Linked DNA regions of Canis lupus familiaris. The main gene of each other region encodes a partner of the protein of the gene in region 2 in a complex. Links are inferred from orthologs where the notes say so. Each region holds a gene or a part of one and is shown on either strand. Other genes may lie near its edges.

What was found. The genes of interacting proteins can lie anywhere in the genome.
Region 1: TCTN1 (region 2) and B9D2 share a complex: the UniProt entries of both Homo sapiens proteins name them as parts of the tectonic-like complex. The link is inferred for Canis lupus familiaris from reciprocal best matches to the Homo sapiens genes TCTN1 and B9D2.

Annotation. Positions count from the first base shown.
Region 1 is NC_049222.1:113,410,092-113,413,432, reverse strand, and holds the end of B9D2 (B9 domain-containing protein 2), read right to left. Parts: intron 3,255-3,341; coding exon 3,129-3,254; intron 1,068-3,128; coding exon 754-1,067; 3' UTR 524-753; downstream 1-523. UniProt on the Homo sapiens protein: Component of the tectonic-like complex, a complex localized at the transition zone of primary cilia and acting as a barrier that prevents diffusion of transmembrane proteins between the cilia and plasma membranes.
Region 2 is NC_049247.1:8,665,606-8,669,199, forward strand, and holds part of TCTN1 (tectonic-1), read left to right. Parts: intron 1-1,166; coding exon 1,167-1,292; intron 1,293-1,759; coding exon 1,760-1,903; 3' UTR 1,904-1,904; intron 1,905-2,718; exon of another isoform or gene 2,719-3,115; coding exon of another isoform or gene 3,116-3,181; intron 3,182-3,533; coding exon of another isoform or gene 3,534-3,594. UniProt on the Homo sapiens protein: Component of the tectonic-like complex, a complex localized at the transition zone of primary cilia and acting as a barrier that prevents diffusion of transmembrane proteins between the cilia and plasma membranes.

The DNA.
Region 1 (3,341 bases), on a different chromosome or scaffold from region 2:
GGGCGGCCCCCAGGGGGAGGACATGGGGGGGCCGGGCCACCGTCCTCATCTCGCGTGGGCGGGCTCCGAGGGGGGTCCCTTAAGCCCCGGGGGGAGGGGGCGGGCACCCCGGCTCCGCCCCGCGAACGGGGTGCTGCCTCCTGGCGGCTGAGCGCAACCCTAGCGGGCCAGCGGGCGGCGTGTGCTCCGAGGGCTGCGCGGGGTCACGGAGAGAAGGACCTGGCGGGCGGGCCCCATCAGAGGTTGGGGACACCGGGCACGGGGGATCCGAGAGTGGGAAGGCTGGGAAGAGGGTCCGCCGGAAGACGGGGTCCCAGGGGGAGAGGGGCACAGAGGAGAGACCCCCCCCCCAAGGAGACAGGGTCCTAAGTGGGGGAACCCAGAGTGGGGAGGGGGACAGAGACTGAGGTAGAGGGTAGGGGAAGTGGGTGTGTCAGAGGTGGGGGCCTGAAGGAGGGTGTCAGTGGGAGGACAGGGCACAAGGCACCTGGCCGGTGACGGAAGTCAGGAGGGCACCCACACCTGTAAGAACCGCTCTCCTTTATTGAGCATTTGCAGGGCAAACCAGCCTCTTCTCACCTGACCCCCGCCACCCCGCACACTCACTGTCCCCATTTTACAGACAAGGAAACTGGATCTGAGGGGGTGGCCACCGGGCTGGAGGTGCTAGTGGGGACAGAAGCCACTGCCGGACTGGCTGGGGTCAGACCCGACAGTGTCCAGAGCCCCCGGCCCCCTCCCGGGCAGGCAGGGTCAGCACTCCACCCCGTAGCGGTCGAAGTGGCGCAGCAGCAGCCCCAGCTCCAGGTGGACCAGGCCTCCGGCCGCCGTGTGCAGCCGGTAGCGGTCGGCGCCGCTGTAGATGGCATCCCCGTGCAGCAGCTGAGGGCCGCCACCCACGAAGGCCCGAGCCAGCTGCTCCCGCCAGCTGCCCAGGGGCCGCCACGTGGGGCAGTCCAGCCGGTGGGTGCCCGGGCTGCTGGGCACGTGGCAAAAGCCGTAGCCCGCCAGCTGGCAGCGGCCAAAGCTGTCCTGCGACCACACCTGGAGATGGAGCCGGGGCCAGCCTGCAGGGTGGGAGGGAAGGAGGAAGGACGGGAGCGATGGAGGCCCCCGGCCCCCTCCCCACTGGGTTTCTGCCCCAGCCTTCTCTCTGGACTCCCATCCATGAGGCAGCCAAAGGGATCTTTCTGAATCTCTGTTCTTCCACTGCTGAAAACCCTTCCATGGCTCCCCAGTGCCCTCATAGAAAGTCCAACCTCTGGACCAGCTGACCTCCCTTCTGTGGCCTCTTCTTCAGTGTCCCCCTATCAGGGCAGCGCAGTCCCCAGGTGAGCACTTTGGGCCTAGTCCCAGACACCTCCCCTCCTCCCTCACCATGGCCCACCCTGTGCTCTCTGAGCCCAGGGCCTCCCTTCTTGGCTCTCCAATGCACCTTCCACCTGGCAGCTGGAAGCATCTTTCTCCCACTTCCATAGGTTTCTCGGTGTCCTTAGAACACCATTCAGGTCCTCAACCTGGTAGGCTGGAGATCTGGCCCCATTTCACCCTCCTTCCTGTGCCCCTCTGCTCTAGGCCCTATTCTAGAAGCTGGGGACACAGTGGTGAACAGAGCAGACAAAAATTCCTGACATCCTAGACAACGAATGTAGTAAATAAGCAAATTATAGGGTATGTCAGATGGTGATCACCGCTCTGGAGAAAAATAAAGCTGGGTATGGTGGGGGTGGGGATGCAGTTTTAGAAAGTGGGTGAGCAAGGGAAGCTTCACGGAGAAGGTGACATTTGAGCAAATGCTTAAAGGAGGAGAGGGAGTGGGCCATGTGGATGGACATCCAGGGAAGAACGCCCCTGAGAGGGAAGAGCTGGTGCAAAGGCCCTGAGATGGGAGCTGCCTGGTGGGGCCAGCTGGCTGGAGCCAACTGAGAGGGAGAGGGAGAGAGAGGAGGTGACAGACCAGATTGTGCAGGGCCTTATGATCGACAAAAAGGCTTTGGCTTTTACCCTAAGAGGGGTACCGTGGAGAGTTCTGCATAAAGAAGGAATGTGCCCCAACTTGGGTGTTCACAGGGGACAGACTCTGGGGGCAGGGTGGGAGCATGGGTGAGAGGTGAGGGTAGGCAGACCAGGGTGCCCGGGGAGAGATGTGGGGGGATTTAGGATACATTTCAAAGGTAGAGCCAAAGGGATTTTCTGATGGGCAGAACGAGGAGGGGGGGCTGTTGAGGAAAGAGGAGGCAAGGATGAATGATGCCCACGCTGGAAGACGTGAGGTCTGCAGAGCTGAAGGGCAGCTGCCTGCCTCACAGTCCCAGCTCCTCCTGGCCCTTCTCAGCAAAGCTGATCAAACCTCCCCTCCTCCAGGAAGCTCTCCCGGAACTCCCTGGCAGTCAGGCATCTCCTCTGGACTCCCCTACCCTCTAGGATCCTCCCATCCTCGATGGGCCCACTCTGGGCCACCCCTGTCTGGGGACAGCTCTGTCTCCCCCAAGGGAATGGTGATTCGCGCGAGGACAGGGCTGTGGGATGAAGGGGGCGGCTGTCTCAATCACCAACATTTCCCTGGCATCACCCAACACAGGCTGGGCACCAGGCAGACACTCGGTAAATATTATTTATATTGTTAAAATACATGGCATGTTTACCTAGGCTATTTCCTAGAATCCACTCCTCTCCAGTGATCTAAATTTTCCACGAGGAAAGGTTTTCTGATACCCTTCCTCCCCCGCATACTGTTTCCCCCTGTGAGCAGCTGAGCTGGGCTGCAGGGCTGCAGAACAGCTCGGCTAGCAGCCCTGCCTCTCTCCCTCACAACCCCTCCCCGCTTCCTCCTGATTGAAGATTCTTGTTTGTCTCTTTGAAAGCCACCTCCCTTCTCTCCCTGGTCCCCACCTCCCCCTCATCCCCCTGGCCCCCAGAGCCCTGGCCTCTGGCCTATAGTCCTATACCCTCTAGCGCCAGTCTGCAGGCCCCAGCTCAGCCTCTCCCAGGCCAGGCCTGGCCAGGAAAGGGTCCCAAGGGCCTAGGGAACAGGGCTGGGACTTGGTTCCCAGTCCCAGCGGCTTTGGGCACCACTAGTCATCCCCCCACCCCCTCAGCCTGGCCCAGGGCTTGTGCTGGGGACCCACCTTGGAGACCTTTGGTGGCGAAGTGCAGGTCGATTGGGTGGGACCAGTAGGCCATGTCCCCTACTTGGGGGGTGTCCACCTGTGTCTGGCCCTCCCGCACGCCAGACAGGAGCTTCCACGCTGCCCCTGCAGGGAGGGGTGGGAAGCAGACATCAAGAAGGGGAAGCTACTGCAGCTGGAGGACCCTGTTTCTCCCTGGCAGTGGGGGAGGTG
Region 2 (3,594 bases):
TGTCTCTACTCTGCCCCCTCGGAACCAGCCACATCGTTTCTGGCTTCTCAGAAACAGGTTAAGACATTGTTACTAGCCCCTAAGAAGGGAAAACCGCCTGGGAGGCAGTGCAGACATTAGCATTTTCAGGGTCTGTGCTGCTGCAGGGAGCTCAGAGGGCCCAGAGAGGGTTTGGTACCTACCTTGCAGGAAACTCAGGTGGCAGCAGACACAAGTGCACGTGCTAGGCTCGCTTCTACCACTGCGTGTTGCCTCTTCTAATAACAGATACTCACAAGGCTTTTTCAGCCTGCAAACTTCCTAAAAGGCAGTTCCCAGCTAAGGAGTTCCACCAGTGCCTTTTTGGCAGGCACCAAATTTAGCAGGCTTGCTAGCTTTTCATGCCCCGAAGAAGCATATTAAACAAACAAACAAACAAACTTGTTATTGTCAGAAAATTTCAAACATAACACAAAAGTAAAGGATTACAATGGAATCCCTTCTACCCATCATGCAGCTTCAGTGGTTGTCACATTTGCCAACAAACATGATGTAAAGGCAGGGAAAGGGTTAGAAGGCCCACTCGCCTGCTCTTCCATGGGGCAGAGACCTCAGGCTGGCTCCCAGGTCTCCAGCCTGCAGGCAGGCAGCACCCATGGAGAGTTAGCATCTTTGACAATTTACCCTCGGCTGATACCCCTGTGTAACATCTTAATTGCCAACTGATGAAATTAAATGAAAAGAAAATATTTACATTTCCTCTAGGTGCATCTTAACGTGATACACAATTAGGTTTAATTTCTATGACTACCACCATCCTCTCCTCCCCACTCAATGCCAGCTTCTCCCCTCAAGAATCTCTGAGTTGGATGAAGCTGGGCAGTTAAGGCCCAAGGTTCTGCGGTTTGTTGTTGGGATCTCCACAACTTCCAAGTAATCTTGACCTTTCTAGAAACAGGAGAGGATGGAAAAATGCTTTAAGTGTTAAAATATTTTTGGGAATATTGAGTACTTTAAAATATGTGCTCTCAGCTGTTTTTATCTGAACTTCTAGAGTCTCTTCACTCTCTTGTTCAGAACATTTTGTAATATGTGAAACACTTTATAATTAAAGCTCTGAAGTGCAGATTAAGTTTGACATGAAATTGTGTAATGTTCAAATTGATTAATGACATTCTGTTTTGCAGGATTCTTGCCAGCTCCCAGTGGCTTTGTTTATAGAAGTGAAGTGGACCAAATACGGGTCCTTACTGAACCCACAGGCTAAAATTGTAAACGTAACTGCAAGTCTCATTTCATCCCCCTTTCCTGAGGTAGGTCTAACTGGGGTTTCGAGGTGTGGGTTAAGACAGAAGTCCAGACAAAACTCAAGCGTGATAGTGAAATTTATTTTGTGAAAAAGATTACTGAAATTTATTTTTTTTTATTTTTTATTTTTTTAGATTACTGAAATTTAAACAATCTGAATTCTTAAAATAATCTGGCACTTTCTTAGGGAAAAAAAAATTCCACTGACAACAGTTGAATTCACAGTAGCATTTTTGTTTGGAGCTGATCTTTAAAATTCTTTGAAAATGGAGTTGTGGTTGACATTGGTGGGTAGGACAGCCTGGGTAAAAACCCTCTCATCCAAGTGAGCGTATGAGGAGCCCTGCATGCGCCTAGGAGATGGGCTGACCGTGGCCCCAGGAGGGAAGGGAGCACAGGGTATGCCACCTTGTGACCCTGTGCACATGAGCACACACTGGAAGCAGGACTCACAACACTCTCTTTATTACAGACCGACTCAGGAAATGAGAGGACGGTTCTTATTTCCACTGCGGTTACTTTTGTGGATGCGTCTGCACCTGCGAAGGCAGGCTTCAGAGCTCGGCCAACCATCAATGCCAGGCTGCCGTTTAATTTCTTCTTTCCGTTTGTTTGACGTAAGTTGTTAATCAAGGAGACAGCACCGCACCTCCAGAATCGAGGGGCCTCGGCTCCCTTGGAGCCATCCTGAGATTCTACCACAGATCTGCAGGGTTGCCCTCAGACCACACACTTCCCCTCTCCATTCACTCTCCTCCTTTTGGAAATTTTATTCTACTTGGTTGACCTTAGAATGTGGCGCCACCTGGTCTTGGTGATTTCCAGTACTGTTAGCACATAGGTCATGTGCGGAAACCAAATTGAGCCTTTGGGAGGATGGGGAAGAGGACAGACCCTGAAGTAGCATAGGTGTTGAGGCTTTATCCAGTTTATCCGCCTCAACATGAGTTATTTTTAAACTACTTGTTGTAGTTCATGTCCCGTGGAGATAAATACAAAAATAGCAAAATACTGCATATAAACTCATGTGAGTAGAGTACACGGTCTCGTGAAAGGATCTCCCCCCAGTGTCGTCTTCATTACATGGAGTCTTGGGTCTAATTGCTGTTTCTGTGGCAGGCACTGGAGCTCTCCATCTGATGGGCTGTATGGGATGCCACAGAGCAGTTCCAAGCCTTTGATGCTGGAAAGAATAGAGTAGGAGGGCTCGAGGGAAAAAGTTTCTTTTATACGTTAATTGTACAGTAATTGAGAAAATGTTGTCAGGTGGCAGAACAGGGTAGAGCCAGTTAGAAAGCTGGTTGCTGCAGAGAGGGGGCTGGGTACCTGTGAACAACCTCCTGGGGGAATGTTAAAACAGTTTGAAAAGATAAGACTTTTCTAGAATGGGCTGGTAGCCAAGGTAGCTTCCTTTTTTCTTTTGTCTTTCAGAATGCTCACATGAAAAGATGCACTGGTTCCTCATACATGGGAAATGGGAAAGTACATTTGATGAGATTAAATTTTATATACAACTAAAAGTTGTCCAGCTTCGTTGTTCATTTTCAAGCAAGAGTCAGGTGTTCAAAATGAGAAAATATAGTTTGTAATACATTGTGATATGGGGTGAGAATGGGACGGGAAGCTCTTGATCACACCAAGAAAGAGTGAGCCTTCCCTTAGACTCCCCCCACCCCAACCCCCCAGAATCTGAGCTGGGTCGGGGGTGAGGCAAAGGCATCAAACCAGATCTCTCTCCCAGACGGTCCCCAGGAGGGGCAGCTGTCTTTCTTATCAGAGGTGCAAGCCTGTGAGGCAGTCTTGTCTTTGGGACGAAGCAGGTACATGTCTAGTTGACTTCACCAAGAAGTCCATGCTGTCTCAATAGCTTGTTCAGTCTTTCAATTTCTTGTTCCTGTTATTAACAAAGGCAGACAGATAACTCAGTTTTACCTTCTGAACCTTGCCAGGGATGTGGCAATTATTTGATGGGCCCCAAGGATGCAAAGCTGAATGGAGGCTACATTCCTGGTGGAGTCTGCCAGTGGAGCCTGCTACGGTCAGCTGGGGCCCAGTGGGTGACTGCAGTGACAGGATGTCCAGAGGAGGGACACCTGGCATAGCTCTGGGGAAGGAGGTGATGCCTAATCTGAATCTGAAAGGACAAGGAAGACTGAGCGAAGGGTGATATCTGAGCAAAGGCCTGGCGGAGTGAAGCTCTGTGCTGAAGGCAAACAGATGGCATTTTCCCAAAAATGTCTTCTTACCTTCTCAGAGCAGCTGAATTCAAGGTGTTGGATCTTGGCGGCCAACTGTATATTCATCTGT